Alligator mississippiensis: one gene and its partner. The protein of the gene in region 1 purifies or fractionates together with the protein of each later gene. This does not show direct contact. Links are inferred from orthologs where the notes say so. Each region holds a gene or a part of one and is shown in the gene's direction. Other genes may lie near its edges.

Region 1 (8,019 bases):
AATACTTCCTAATCTTTTGATTTCTTTCAAAAGCTTTCAACTGAAAACATTAATAATAAACCAGCATCAATAATGTTAAATGCTGCAAAAAGCTGAACTCCCTCAACCTCAGCAGTTTTTTGTAAGGATTCCTACAGAGATAGACTTTTATTATTATTTTGATAATCTGTGGGCAGCTCAATTCCCCACTTTTGTTAAGTAACCATTGTTAGTAAAATAAGCTCATCACATAAGGTATTATCACTGTGTTACAAGCAGATTGTATAGCTGAAGAATACCATTCCCTGCAGATGACTAAGTGGTGGGGACCTAAAGTAACTACGTTGACTCATGCATTACTGTACAATATGAACTGTAATTTCTATGTAAATCTTAGAAGCTTAGTGTGTTATCTTATAGTAATTAACCAACCTGAAACTAAAGCATTCTAGTTGCATAAGAATAAAGTATTCACTTGAAAAGCACTGAAAACAACCAACACCCTCCTGAACCCAGAGGAACAGATTTCCACCTTGAGCTTCCGCTGTACAAAAATGAAGTTTATTTTCTACTATGGGGAATTTTACCATCTTCAATTTTCCCTAAGCCTGAGGAAAGGCGTATGTGCCCAAAAGCTTGCAGAAAAATACATAATTTTTTTGTGATTTCTTAACTGGTCTAATAAAAGGTATCATCTCTGAACCAAGAGTTCTAGAGTTTTGTATTTCTGAAAACAACCAATGTATGAATGAGCATTTATGTAGATACTAAACTAGAAATGTAGAACTACAGTACTGCTCCAAGTGGGTGCAGGGGCATACCCTGAACAAGTTTGGGCACAGCCATGCCTCATCTACCCGGAGGAAATTTACTGTAGTAACAACTGGTTACCCTTAACTAACTGAAATAGCATACATTTTGTGACCACACACAAGAATGATTCAAGAGGAAAAGGCCAGAGAGAAATGCATTGCTTTGGATTTTGTATTGATAAACAAGATTGTTCCAATTACTGCAGGCTGAAGCAACAGAGCACCCACATGGAAGTACTGCACTAATAGAGCCAGTACCTTGCCAGAGCTGACACACCCATCACTTCAAGTACCTGCCTTTGTTCAGGATCCCCTGTTCGTCTGAACTCCCCTACTTAATTACCCCTTAAGTCAGATCACCCTCCTTAGGTAAAAGCTGCAAGAAATAATGTCACTAGTCCACTATCTGAAGTCAGAACTGAAACTGTGAATAACAAACTGAATGTATTATTTGCTCTCCCTCCCTGCCCAGAATACACCTCCAGATTTATCTTCTTCCAAGAATCACTATCACTAGCAGTTGCAACCTCAAACAACTTCAATGAGCAACCAATATTTGGATCTCTGTCTAAGAATAGCATGGAAGATGAGGTCATTTCTGGAGCATCCAAAGAGGGGGCACAGCAGCACAGCCTCTCTCCTTACCTAGCTGCATCTGCTTGCATGGGATAAGAAATCCTTTGACAAAGAACCAGCTGTCAAAGGAGACAACCAATATTCCACTGCTGAGCAATAGTTGTAGAGAAGGGTGTGAGAAGGTGACCACCTTCTTAGAAAGTGCAGGAAGTGGGGGGAGGAATCTGTCCCCAGCACATCTTTCTTTCTCTAGAGATGGTCCTGGTAGTCTGGAATTTGGCAGAAGGCAAGGCAGGGTGGCACTTTAAAGACTAGGGCTGTCCAATTTCTGGACAACTGGGAACAGCAGACCTGACTCCTCCCTCCCCACTACTACACACAGCACTCTCAACTTCTTGCCATGCACACCACACAGGCAGCCCATCCCTACAAAGTATGCAGAGCAGATCCCCCACCATCATGCATGCAACACCCTTTCCTCCCCTCCCTCCATGCACAATGGGAAGACAGCCTAAGATGCAGCACAGACAGCCGAGAGTTCCATCCCCTTTGCTATGTGCATAGCATGGGTACCATGACCTCCTTGTGCTGTGCCACCCTGCCCCAAGGACCAGGAGCAGAAAGTGGAAACTGGAGGAGGGAGATAGAGCCCAGAGACCCTGGCTGCCACTGCAGGAGCAATAGGGTGGTAGTGAAGTAGGGAGCGTTGGCTGGACAGAAAGAAGCCTGCAACCTGCATGTTAACACCTCAGGCTGCCAGTTATACAGCTTCTTTACAGTGTAACAAAATGCCACCCTGCCTTAACCTTCTTTCTTTATTTCCCTAGAAATGTTTCAGAAAAACCCTCATCATCATCTTCACATTTTACTCAACTAAAATGTTGAGCTAAGAAAAGTAACAGAAGAGTAAAGCTTCAGACACACAATGCAATTACTCCAGAATATTTACTTTGAATTTAATTCCATAATGAAGAGCAAACACCCATGAAGTTCTCTTATCTCCCTGTCTTATCCAGGTGCTATTACAGCACCAGACCCTCAAGTAGCAGAACAGCATTAGGCAAAAAGACTACATCAGGATGATACTAACAGGTAGGGTCATCTGTGGGATAGACTGAACAGCTGAGAGAAACACAGCCTTTAAATCAGGAATGTAAATATAAATATTGTTTTAAAAGTTATCCATTTAATCTCCTCAAATTATATTGGTTAAACAGTTAACTCAAAGTGTAGTGACCTCTGGCAGGAAGCCATGGGTTGGAGGCAGCAGGTGTAGCCAAACCACTAAGGGGTGCTGCCCAGCTGCAGAACCGCAGCCCTCAAGGCTGGAGCTGCAGATTCCTCGTGTCCAAATCCTCATGCCACAGGGAGGAAAGAACAGAGGAAGGTGCTGGGCTCCCCCACAGGGGAGCCTTCCCATCACAGCAGCAAGACTCCTAGTTCCATGGAGGGTCTTCCCAGGCCCCTTATAGCAGCGGGGCCCAGGCAAGGTAACAGATTCCTTGAGCTTGTCCCACCTTGATCTGGACCTGGAAGTCTCTGTGCTGCTGGGTCAAGCCCTCCCCAGCTTGCCCTGGGGGAAGATGAGGTCCAGACCCAGTGGGGTGGCCTCTGCCAGGTGCACTATGTCCTTCCCCTTCTTGTCTGTGGCAATGGGGCTACCTGGGGCCTGGCCCAGCCCTGAGGCAGGGCTGGCATGGCCTAAAGAGGCACCATGGCAGCTGTAGCAGGCAGCTCCAGGTTAGAGAGGGGATTGAGGCTAGTTCCTTGAGCGGTGATCTTAGCCCCACAGCATTCATGAGCTCCAGCCTAGGAGGCTGCTGTTTCAGCCCTAACACTCCCCCTGGGATCCCTGCTGCTCCAAAAGAATGCCATAAGGCTGTGCTCACCATGCGAGGGGCCAGCAATGACCTCTTAGCAGCCCTTTCAGGTCCAGGCCACAGTGGCATAAGTGCGGCAGAAGGCACAGGACCCTGTCACCCTACCTGGACCTTGTTGCTGGAGATGAGGGGGCGACAAACCCATCACAGGGATGGGAAGGCCCCGCCTGACCCATGTGGGGGGACCCAGCACCTCCCTGCTTCCCTGAGGTGGTGGGATCCAGGCACAGGAGAGGTCCGCAGCCCCGGCTCTGTCCACAGCCCCAGCCCACGATGGTGAGAAGGAGCCGCAGCTCCACAGCTGGGCTGCACCCCCAAATGGCTCAGCCACACCACTATCCCCCACCCACAGCTCCCTGCCAGTGGCCTGGGGCCCACGCAGAGCTGCTTGTATGGTGAAGACACAAGGGGCATAGGCCAAGGCTGCTCCTGCTGGAGGTTTCTAAACAGTAAACGGTATAAATAAAATTGTTGTTTAACCATTTACATACTTAAAACATTGCTACATTAGACACATTTTTTGCTCAGCATTTTTTCGCACCTCTGTGAAAACAGAGTGTACTGTGACTGCCCCCAAAACTACAGAGCTGAGCGTTTCCAACCCCATCTGGTAATGTCCACCTCCGCGTGGTTTTCAACTTCTCACTGGCGATTTGAAAAGCTTCTCAGACTCGTAACCAAATCCGTTCTGCGGGGCGCGGACACGAAGATGGGCTTTATACCCCTTTATCTCCTGTGCTCTGCCCCGATGCCCTGACCATCCCAGGTGCACGGATAGACCCAGGGCCCTACAGGCACCACCGGGCCCCAAGAGGCGCTCACAGGGAGAGGCAGCTTTGCACCTCTGCTATGAGGGCCGGGGCCGCCGTGCCTGGCATCTCATCAGTCCGGCAGGCGACGCCAAGCCCCAGGGGCTTCAGAGAAAGCCACGAGGGCCCCCGGCGCAGCGCGCCTTCCTGGCCCCCGGCCCTCAGCAGCTCCTGGCCTCACGCGGGAGACCTCGTGCCCTTTTCTTTTTGACAGCTCGTTGCTCCGGCTCTGCTCACCCTGCGCCTCGCCGCAGCCCCGGGCAGCTCCGCCTGGGCCTCGCACTCTTGTCGAAGGTGCCCCCGGCCCCGGCCGCCCGCCCCGAGGCGCCGCATCCCGACCCCGCCCCGGGGGAGGGGCCGGCCTCAGCTCCCGGGAGCAGCGCAGGCAGCACCAGCTCGGAAACGAGCTCCGCGCCCCCGCCCCGCCCCGCCCCGTCCCGTCCCGTCCGGGCCGCTCCAGACCTGGCGCCGCAGGCTAACACTGCCTCCCAGCCGCGAGGCTCCATGTCCCCAGCCCCGCCGCTGCCGCCGAGCCTGAGGCGGTGACTCCCTTCTGCAATGCGCGTGCGCACCATCTCCCTCCCTCCCCACCAGCCGCGGAGGATGCCGGGTGTAGTGCGCAGCCGGGAATCGTAGTTGCCGGCAGGTGGCGGGGCATGCTGGGAGCGGTAGTTCGCTCGTCTCGCCCGCGGCACAGCTGTCTCTAACGAGCGGCGCCTCACGTTCCAAGCCTGGTGCCGCCGTGCACCTTGGGGCTTGTAGGCTTGGCCTTGGCCGAGCGTCCATCCGGGGCTCGGAAGCAGCGGGGCTGGTGGATGGCGTCGCCTAGCAGCGGCCGCCGCTTCCCGTAGGGCCCGGGGCGACAAGTGAGGGCCGGGTTGGGCCAGGCCAGGGCGTCCCTCGGGTGCCGCTGGGCGGGGGAGAGCGTCGCTCTAGTGGGGGGTTCCCAGCGCGCGGAGGGGCAGGAGGAGGCGTGTGGGCGCGGCCAATTTCGGGGGTGCCCGGCCGGGGGTGCTCCAGCTGCTCGGGGCCTGCTGCTGCAAGGGTCAGAGGAGTCGCCTGCCTGGGTGTCCGGCTCCGAGAGATGGGCAGCGGTGGAGCTCATCTCGCTCCCCGGACCTGCGAGGTCTTTCTCGCTCCGTGTAGAGCGCACGGGCCGGTGCAGGGGCGAGGAGGGTGGGTGGGAAAGTCCATTTTTTCCTGTCAGAGCAGTTGTCACTTAAACTACACACTAAGACCAGGTGTGGGAAGTATCTGAAGTCCCGGACTAAAGAGTCTGGGAGGAAGGATGATTTCCTGTAGCATCTGCAGGCATCCGAATGCCAAGACCTGCGGGCCTGGGCCTGCAACTAGGACACCTGCCAGTGGATTTGGGAGGATGTGAAGTCCCAGGGTGAGAGCCTGGGGCTGAGAATGCTGGTTGTAGCACCATACATGGTGTTTAGAAAGATTGAATTCTGCCTGCTCCATTGATACGGTTTTTGGAGCGCTTGACTTCTGCTCAGTCAATATGATTTGGAACTGATTTAGCTGATTTGACCTGGAACACAAAATATATTATTATTATTAATAATAATAATAATAATAAATCCATTGATTTCTTCTCCTCCAGGCAGCAGGTTGTGTGGTTCAAGTGCTGCCCCAGATGGGCGCTGGGTGAGGGGAGATGATTCTGTGCTTAGGTTCCTGGATGCCTCCTGGCTGTTAAACATGTGAAGGATTTATGAGCTCTTTCAGAACAGTAGGTTCAGAACAGTAGGGGCTGGGGTTCTAGGTCATTACATCTCGTGTCTCTTATAATCATTGTACTGATGTCATTAGCCTTTTTGTTGTCTTAGGCTCTCTTTCTGCTTTTTATTCTGACAGGGTTATCATCTCTTTCTTTTCCAGGAATATTTTTGTCTTCATTTGTCATCTTTTCTCTCAAATAACAGACCTGTTCTCCTATTTCAGAAGGTATTTTGTTGTGTTCTGCATGAGGTCCTTCTGTGGTTTCACCCTAATTTAGAGAATTTTTAGATCAGAAATATGTGCATATTGTCACATCTTCCTTGGGAAATCAGACATCATAATGTACTCTGTTTAAATGCATAGCTTTCTGTCTGGAAACATAAAAAGGCTGTGTATTTTCCTGATTTATGAACTTACCCAAACTCAGTGTAAGCAGCACTCATTAAGAACACAATATCCTATCTCAGTCTTTTTCAGTACTGTACAGGGCTATTAGCAGTCCTGATAATGACTTGGCTTCTGGACATTTTTAAAGCTTTTAAAAGCAGCCCTGAAATTGGCATGCTCTGGTCAGTTTCAAGGCTTTTAAGGGCAGCTTTTTGACAGCTGTTTCCTTTCAGCCTTTCTGTCGCAGATATTATGTATTTACATGGATTAAAATTATATTACACAGCAGGTAGTAGAAGCTACCTGGTTTATACATTTAATCCATATGCAAATAATTGATACATGTGCTAACAGGCAAAAAATTGCAACCTGCTTGTATGGTAACAGACTCTTCTTATCCACATATGAGTTAGATGCATAAAATGGTTAGAGGCCTGTGTATCTTTCAACCACTCTACTTCATATCCTAGTTGTGCAGCGAAGGAGCAGCAGCTGTCAAAGGCCAGCTATTAAGCTTTGACAATGATGAGGGGTATTTATTTCCTTGATTGTCATCTCATCTCATTTTCATGATTTCTAATAACTCCAAGAGTGACTATTAGAAGTCTTTAAAATGATGGGAGGATAGTCATTTTCCGGGCTGCTAATACCACAGCACTAACAGGACTGTGTACTTAAATATTGATAGTTTAAATGAAAGTTTGGATAAGTGCATAACCTGCGTAAATGCTGGCCTGAGAACAGACGCTGGTCTGTTCTTAATCTCAAACGGTTTATGTTTCTCTCTCCATATATATACATATACATATATTGCATATTTTTTAAAACTCCTAGTAAACCGAGAGGTGGCAAAGAAAATGAGTGATTTGTATCCCAGCTTAATTGCACAGCTGGAGAAGTTTTTCTGGCAGACTGTTCAGACAATTATAGGAAAGTTTTTGAAGGATGGTAATGGCAGGAAGTTTTAAGTTGGCAAATCTCTACCCAGGGTTCATTTAATGCAGAGGAATGTGAATCAGTTTCTAATAGTGCAGAAATTTCCCACAACTTTAGTAAAATGAATGGTGAAAAAGATCTCAAAGGTCTTGCAGCACTGTACAGAGGTCCTATCTGAGAATTTGCACAAAATATCTGTTCTAATTTTCTACGTCAACTAGCAGCAACTGACTTGCTTGTTTTTTTTTCCAACTGTGAGAGCCATTTTCATAAGGAGAATAAGTAAATTATTTATATGTAGTAGGATCTAATTGCTCTATTTGGACTTTGTCAGCCTGGGTAGGAGCAGCCAATGAACAGTAGCAAACAATTAATCTCTACCTCATGTAAAATCTTTTCCAGGTCCTCACATAATGTCCAATAATACACAAAAACTTTGCAGTACCTAGTTGTAGACTGGCTGGTTATAGGCAGTAGAAAGAAACTTACACTTGGGTGGGTGTATTGCTTCTAATGCTTAATAGCACCCTCATGATAGATTTTGGTCAACAGGTTGTGAGAAGCAGATGATAAGACAGAGGTATCAATGTAGTGCTTGATCTGGTTCTTGTATATATATCTCCCAGTGATGCATTCATATTGTGCAGTATCCAAGATTTTATTTAAAAGGAAAAGAACATTTCTATCCCTCATGCTTGCAAAAGTAATCTAGATGTGGGAAGAGTGTAAACCAATGAAACAGTTCACCCTTGGAAGGTGTAAAGTCTTGTATTGTTTCCTGTGATTCACTTTCTTGCGTTTGGCAATTGTTTTAGCTTTAATGTAATGATCATTATTATTTTTGTTGTTGTTTCAGGGAAGAAACAAAGCTATTTTAAACTTAAGATGGCCCCCAACTTAGACTGGAAG
Region 2 (7,943 bases), about 160 Mb from region 1:
TAACATGTCCTGATGCCAAGTCTTTTCAAAAGAGGATTTTTAAATACCACATAGAAGGCTTCCCATTGAAGATGTAGCTTAACTGGTTTTGATTATGATTAAAAGAAAAAAAATGACCCATACAATTATTTATTGGAAAAGAAAATCCCTGATAATTTCAGCTCGAACTGGAAGCTGCAGGTAGTTGCAAGCAACTGAAAAACAGGGGAAGGGGGTTAAAACAGAAATCCATAAGCAGCCTTGAGGATAGCTGTGGTTGCTGCTCTTCCAATTGTAACAGCAAAGGAAAAGCCATGTGCCAGAGCAAGGATTTTAGTTTTTTCTCAACATAAATAAGCTTTTAAATTCCTGTTAAAATGGAATTAGAAAAAGCCACCATGATATCCTCACTGCAATTCCATTTTGTCATTCTTTGAAGCCTACTGCCATCACATTTGTTTCTAACTCTTTGGCCAGTATGAATTGCTGCTCTTTAATTTGCCAACTCTTTGAAACATGCAGATGAACATAAAGTTTGCCAAACTTTTTTGCACTAGCATTACCGGAGTTGTCCATCTTGCCAAAAGCATCACTTAAAGCAGGCTGGGAAAGTAACAACTGCTGTTTCCAAGGAGCTAAATAAGCAGAGAGTTTTTAGTAGGTAGAGGGCAGATGGTGAATGGATCCAAGGATAGCAACACCCAGGCCTTGGGAACCACAGTGTGGCAACAAAAGACGATCAAAATCCAGGCTTTAGTTGTATGCACACTGCAAAGGGGATGTGACTGTACGTATTTTACAGCAAAAGCCTCCATCACCAGCCAGCAGGCCTCAATTCAAGGAAATGGGAGGGTGTACTGTAGATAAAAGTGTTTGGATTAAAACCCAGGTAATATCTGCACTGCAGCAGGCTCTGTCTCAGAGGTCTAATCAGCACCTAGCTCAGTAAGGTACTGCTAATGGAGCTCCTATGGCAGGAATGGGAAACCATTCCCATGAGAGAGCTGCAGGATCCTTAGCACTTTGTAAGATCAGGACACTGAAACAGGTCTTCAAATATTGACTTTGCAGCGTCAACTTTTGGTGCCAATTTCTGAAGTTGTCAGACAGTTCAACTATTTGTAGCCCCAACTAATATTACTAGTAAAAAGATTAAAAAAAAAGAAGCCTCTCTCTTGACAGTGCTATCAGATATGCAAATTTAGCTGAATTTCAACCTTTCTTCAGAGCAACACAGGAGAAAAACTTTTGAAGTAGATTCTGTAGCTTTACAATTTATATTTATCCAACAGGAAATTTAAGGGCTGGTGCAAGACCAGAAACATTTGCAAATTGTTCAGTTCTTAAAACAAAACAAAAAAAAGAGTTAGAGCAGCCATGTAAATCCACGTACAAGTTTTGCGTTCCCCCCCATCCAGCTGTGGACAATTTGAAGTGCGATTCGTTTGCTCAGAGCAGACATTATCCACCCCACTGCATGAAGCACAGAGGGCATTCTCGGAGGTACTGAACCGTGGGGATCACTCTAAAAATAATGAGCCATCAAAACAGAAACAGCAGCCCTAAATTACCAGAACCATAATCCTAACAGCATTTGTCTCCTAGATACCTGCAGAATCGCTGAAAACACACCTCCCAGGATAGTAGCTATTATGTACTCAGGGAGCAAATGCTAGCTTTGAGATTAATACTGCCTTTAACCTTTGATTGTTGAATGTGTATTTAGAGACCTGCAGAGGCCAAGCACAAAGAGCAAACACAACTTCAGCCCAAACTCAGAAGTTCACAGCATTAGGATAAGTAAGACACCGCTGTTTCTTAAAACATATCCCAGGGCAGAGCCGATGCATTTAGTACCCACAAAGAAGTGCTAAGTGACGTATGGCAGCAGAGTGTTAACTTCACCAGCAACACACCTGCTCATTAGTTTGGTTTCAAATCTCTCTCCAGCAGCTGCAACCTGCTCTGAACCACACAGTCTTGTGTTGAAGAGCGCACGAGGACATAAGCAACCTGGGTTCAATTTCCAGCTCTGCCTCAGACTCTCTACATGAACGCAGGCAAGCAACTTAATCTGTCGGGGCCCAAATACTCATGTTTTTTACGACATCTCTCTCTCATGCTTCCTCCGAGGGGTCTGTTTAAAAACTTTTCAGAAACTGTTTCTTCCTCGCAGTCTCCATGGGACCTGCCTCGGGAAGGCCTTGCTAGATGCTATTGCAACACCATCAGAGTAGTAGTGTTGCCACATTTGATTCCAGTCCCCAGCCCAGCCCTCTGCCCCGTACGTCTCCATGCAGGATCAGCCCAGCCCTCCCACAGGTGCAGTCAGAGACCCCTTGTGCTCACCTCCCCATCACCTTCCCCTGCTCCTTGTTCAGAGGCCTGCTCTCCTGTGACCCCCACTTGCTCTACCCTGACACCGCCCTCACTGACCACAGCCTCCCCCTCTCACACTAAGGTCATGGCAGGAAACAAAAGCCTGGGGAGCCCCCCCGCCCCCCTGCAGGTTACACAGCCCAGCCCTTGTCACCATCACCCCTGTGCCTGCCAACCGCGCCATGCAGGATCTGCAAAGCGGACTTTAGCTTTGCGCACAACACGTTCACGTCCACCCAGAGGCAACGCCAGCCTGGGGGGACTCCCCTAGCGCTGGTGGAGTCCAAGAGCAGGGGCCGGGGGCCAAGGAGCCCATCCCAAGCCAGAGCACAGAACGGCCCATCGCCCCCATGGGACCCGGCCCCTTCCAGACACCCGCCATCGTGGGGCAGGGTGCAGCAGAGCACCTGCCTCCCCAAGGGGCCTGGACAGAGTCCACCCCATCCCCACAGAACCCCCCCACCCAAACAGACCCCCCACCCTACATGGCCTCATCCGCTATGCAATGCTCAGCACCCCCCCCATCCCCACAGCTCCCCCCCACACCCCACATGGACCCGTCCCCACGGCTCTCCCCCAGCACCCCACATGGACCCGTCCCCACAGCTCCCCCCCCTGCACCCCACATGGGACCGTCCCCACAGCTCCCCCTGCACCCCACATGGACCTGTCCCCATAGCTCTCCCCCCCCCCGCACCCCACATGGACCCATCCCCACAGCTCCCCCCCCCCACACCCCACATGGACCCGACCCCACAGCTCCCCCCCCTGCACCCCAAATGGACCCGTCCCCATAGCTCTCCCCCCCCCCTGCACCCACATGGACTCGTCCCCACAGCTCTCCCCCCCCCTGCACCCCACATGGACCCGTCCCCACAGCTCTCTCTCCCCCCCCGCACCCCACATGGGACCATCCCCACAGCTCCCCCCCTGCACCCCAAATGGACCCGTCCCCATAGCTCTCCCCCCCCCTGCACCCACATGGACTCGTCCCCACAGCTCTCCCCCCCTTGCACCCCACATGGACCCGTCCCCACAGCTCTCCCTCCCCCCCCCCCCCGCTCCCCACATGGGACCGTCCCCACAGCTCCCCCCCCCCTGCACCCCACATGGGACCGTCCCCACAGCTCCCCCCCCTGCACCCCACATGGGACCGTCCCCACAGCTTCCTCCCCCCGCACCCCACATGGGACCGTCCCCACAGCTCTCCCCCCCCCCGCACCCCACATGGGACCGTCCCCACAGCTCTCCCCCCCCCTGCACCCCACATGGGACCGTCCCCACAGCTTCCCCCCCCCCGCACCCCACATGGACCCATCCCCACAGCTCTCCCCCCCCCCCCCGCACCCCACATGGGACCGTCCCCACGGCTTTCCCCCCCCCCTCGCATCCCACATGGGACCGTCCCCACGACTCCCCCCCCTGCACCCCACATGGGACCGTCCCCACAGCTTCCCCCCCCCCGCACCCCACATGGACCCATCCCCACAGCTCTCCCCCCCCCCCGCACCCCACATGGGACCGTCCCCACGGCTTTCCCCCCCCCCCTCGCATCCCACATGGGACCGTCCCCACGACTCCCCCCCTGCACCCCACATGGGACCGTCCACTCCCCCACATGGACCCGTCCCCGCCTCCGCACCCAACACATGGACCCGTCCTCCCGACTCTCCCCCCGCACCCCACATGGACCCGTCCGGCGCGGCCCCCCCCGCTCACAGCGCACGGTGTGGAAGGCGCAGCGCGGCTGCTTCTCGAAGCTCTCGCCCAGCTTGAGCACGCGCTCCTTGGGGTCGAAGAGCGGGGGAGCCGCCCCGTTCATCGCGGCCCCGCCGCGCGCCTCACACCATGGCCGGCCCGGGCAGCCCCCGCCGCCAAACAGCCCTGGCGCCGGGGGCGGGGCCGCAGCAAGCCACGCCCGCCCCGCCCCTCTGGCAGGGGCGTGGCTCTCATTGGGGCGAATCCCTCCCACCCGGCGCTCCTATTGGCTGCCGCTTCCTAGCCTCGCCCGCGCTCTCGTCACTCCGGGCAGCGGGGGGGAGGAGCCTGCATGCAAATTTTGGGATGGGCCGGTATGCAAATGTACCCCAGGGGCTGAGCCGCCGGTTGGCTGAAGCAGACGTGACGTAAGGGGGGGGTCATATGCATACGGAGCCGTTCGGAGGAAGTGAGGCCACCTCGGTCCGCGGGGGGAGGGGCCTGCTAGTGGGGGGTGGGAGCCGATAACCTGAGGTAGGGGGGCCTCCTAGTGGGGGGGAGGGGCCTGGCAGTGGGCTCGGGTAAAGGTGAGGGGGAGGGGCCTGCTAGTGGGGGAGCAAAGGTGGGGGAGGGGCCTTGCAATGGGAGGGGCCTGCTAACCTGAGGGGCAAAGGTGGGGAAGGGGCCCTGCTAACCTGGGAAAGGGGGAGGGGCCCTGGTAGTCTGGGGTGGGGGAGGGGCCCTGCCTGCATGGAGCTGGGGTGCAGGCCTGGGAGGGGGGCTGCGGGCGAGCGTGGGGCGGTGCTGCTGGCTTGGTGCAAAGCGCAGGCGTCTTCACACTTCTCTTCTCCCCCGACAGCGCCCTGCAGACGCCCGCCTTGCTGTGCGCTGGCTCGCGCCCTGCCCGGGATGGGGCCCGACCTGTTGGCCCGCACGCTGTAGCGCCCTGCTGCCCGCACGGGCGGAGACCGTCCCGGAGAGGCCACGGCGGAGACCTGCGGCCCTGGGGAGGGGGCCGGAGCCAGGAAGCGGGGTACGTTTTCCTCCAGGACTGAGGGGGCGAAGAAAGGGAGCGAGAGGCTGACACTGCAGTTCCCGCGAGCCGCGTTTTGCGCAGAGATCTGTGGGGCTGTGAAGGACCTCCGCGGTCTGGTCCAGCCCTGGCCCGAGGTAGGATCCTACACCATCCATCAGGGTTAGGCTACATGGGGGGCAAGGAGAAAGGGATTTGGTGGTAGGGGTCTGCTACAGACCCCCACATCAAGGGGAAGAAAGAGATTCAGGGCTCCTGAGGCAACTCTCGGAGACCATAAAAGCTAAGGAGGCGGTAGTCATGGGGGACCTAAACTACCCGGACATCTGCTGGGAGACGCAGACAGCAAGGTCCCACCGCTCACGCAGGTTTCTAACCTGTGTACAGGACCTCCACCTGACACAGGAGGTGCACGGTCCCACTAGGGGGAATGCCATACTGGATCTGGTATTGGCAACGGGATGACATGGTAGCGGACATCCAGATCGGTAGCCATCTGGGGGACAGTGATCACCTAATAATAGAATACACCATAAGACGGCGAGTGGGTAAGGTAACTAGTAGGGTGAAAGTGCTAGACTTCAGGAAAGATGATCTTAGTGAACTCAGGCGATTAGTCAAGGAAGCACTGCAGAGTAGGAGATTTGAAGTGATGGGAGCCCAAGAAGGGTGGCTGTGCCTTAAGGAAACGATCCTTCAGGCACAAAGCAAGACGATCCCCGAGCGAGGCAAAAGAGGGAAAGGGGCCAGGAGGCTTCCCTGGCTGACCAGAGAAATCCAGGGCAGCCTACGGGACAAAAGGCGAGCACATAAAAAGTGGAAACAGGAACAGATCACCAAAGATGAATATACCTCCTCTGCTCGTGCATGCAGGGAGGCAGTTAGACGGGCCAAAGCTATCATGGAGCTGAGGATGGCAACCCAAGTAAAAGACAACAAGAAATTGTTTTTTAGATATATAGGGAGTAAAAGGAAGGCCCAGGGAGGAATAGGACCCCTGCTAAATGGGCAGAAGCAATTGGTGACAGACAGGGAGGACAAGGCTGAACTCCTCAACGAGTTCTTTGCCTCAGTGTTCCTAAGCGAGGGGCACGACAAGTCTCTCACTGGGGTTGTACAGAGGGAGCAGCAAGGCGCCAGACTACCATGCATAGACCCTGAGGTGGTGCAGAGTCATTTGGAAGAACTGGATGCCTTTAAGTCGGCAGGCCCGGATGAGCTCCATCTGAGGGTGCTGAAGGCACTGGCCGACATCAATGCAGAGCCACTGGCGGGAATATTTGAACACTCGTGGCACATGGGCCAAGTCCCGGAGGACTGGAAAAGGGCCAGTGTGGTCCCCATTTTCAAAAAGGTGAGGGCAACTATAGGCCAGTCAGTCTCACCTCCATCCTTGGCAAAGTCTTTGAAAAAATTATCAAGGCTCACATTTGCGAGAGCCCGGCAGGACAAATTATGCTGAGGGGAAATCAGCACGGGTTTGTGGCGGGCAGATCGTGCCTGACCAATCTAGTCTCTTTTTATGACCACGTTACGAAACGCGTGGACACAGGAGGAGGGGTGGATGTCGTATACTTAGACTTCAGGAAGGCCTTCGATACGGTATCCCACCCCATACTGGTGAACAAGTTAAGAGGCTGTGATGTGGATGACTGCACAGTCCGGTGGGTGGCGAATTGGCTAGAGGGTCGCACCCAAAGAGTCGTGGTGGATGGGTCGGTCTCGACCTGGAAGGGTGTGGGCAGTGGGGTCCCGCAGGGCTCGGTCCTTGGACCGATACTCTTTAATGTCTTCATCAGCAACTTGGACGAGGGAGTGAAATGTACTCTGTCCAAGTTTGCAGATGACACAAAGCTATGGGGAGAAGTGGACACGCCGGGGGGCAGGGAACAGCTGCAAGCAGACCTGGACAGGTTGGACAAGTGGGCAGAAAACAACAGGATGCAGTTCAACAAGGAGAAATGCAAAGTGCTGCACCTAGGGAGGAGAAATGTCCAGCACACCTACAGCCTAGGGAATGACCTGCTGGGTGGCACAGAGGTGGAAAGGGATCTGGGAGTCCTAGTGGACTCCAAGATGAACATGAGCCGGCAGTGTGACGAAGCCATCAGAAAAGCCAATGGCACTTTATCGTGCATCAGCAGATGCATGACGAATACATCCAAGGAGGTGATACTTCCCCTCTATCGGGCGCTGGTCAGACCGCAGTTGGAGTACTGCGTGCAATTCTGGGCGCCGCAATTCAAGAAGGATGCGGATAACCTGGAGAGGGTCCAGAGAAGGGAAGCTCGTATGGTCAAGGGCCTGCAGACCAAGCCCTACGAGGAGAGACTAGAGAAACTGGACCTTTTCAGCCTCCGCAAGAGAAGGTTGAGAGGCGACCTTGTGGCTGCCTATAAGTTCATCACGGGGGCACAGAAGGGAATTGGTGAGGATTTATTCACCAAGGCGCCCCCGGGGGTTACAAGAAACAATGGCCACAAGCTAGCAGAGAGCAGATTTAGACTGGACATTAGGAAGAACTTCTTCCCAGTTCGAGTGGCCAAGGTCTGGAACGGGCTCCCAAGGGAGGTGGTGCTCTCCCCTACCCTGGGGGTCTTCAAGAGGAGGTTGGATGAGCATCTAGCTGGGGTCATCTAGACCCAGCACTCTTTCCTGCTTATGTAGGGGGTCGGACTCAATCTATTGAGGTCCCTTCCGACCCTAACATCTATGAATCGGGTAAACTCTGGCTGAGGTGACCGTCAGCCCTGACGCAACACGAGACATAGCGCCGTGACCTGCCGCAGGTGAAGCGGGGAGTCACGGCAGCCTACACCCCGCTTCTGGAGCAGGTAGTTAATATCCGCTCGAG

Evidence for each region. The genes of interacting proteins can lie anywhere in the genome.
Region 2: the proteins of CEP290 (region 1) and IQCB1 purify together in Homo sapiens (co-immunoprecipitation; 8 studies listed by BioGRID and IntAct, counting the BioPlex papers as one, with this or other methods). This does not show direct contact. The link is inferred for Alligator mississippiensis from reciprocal best matches to the Homo sapiens genes CEP290 and IQCB1.

Annotation. Positions count from the first base shown.
Region 1 is NC_081827.1:84,380,620-84,388,638, reverse strand, and holds the start of CEP290 (centrosomal protein of 290 kDa), read left to right. Parts: upstream 1-4,823; 5' UTR 4,824-4,922; intron 4,923-5,268; exon of another isoform or gene 5,269-5,449; intron 5,450-5,946; 5' UTR 5,947-6,012; intron 6,013-7,966; 5' UTR 7,967-7,995; coding exon 7,996-8,019. UniProt on the Homo sapiens protein: Involved in early and late steps in cilia formation. Its association with CCP110 is required for inhibition of primary cilia formation by CCP110.
Region 2 is NC_081827.1:247,142,560-247,150,502, forward strand, and holds the start of IQCB1 (IQ calmodulin-binding motif-containing protein 1), read left to right. Parts: upstream 1-4,511; 5' UTR 4,512-4,590; intron 4,591-4,915; 5' UTR 4,916-5,089; intron 5,090-5,121; exon of another isoform or gene 5,122-5,226; intron 5,227-7,943. Other genes in the region: EAF2 (ELL-associated factor 2), read right to left, coding at 4,078-4,180. UniProt on the Homo sapiens protein: Involved in ciliogenesis. The function in an early step in cilia formation depends on its association with CEP290/NPHP6.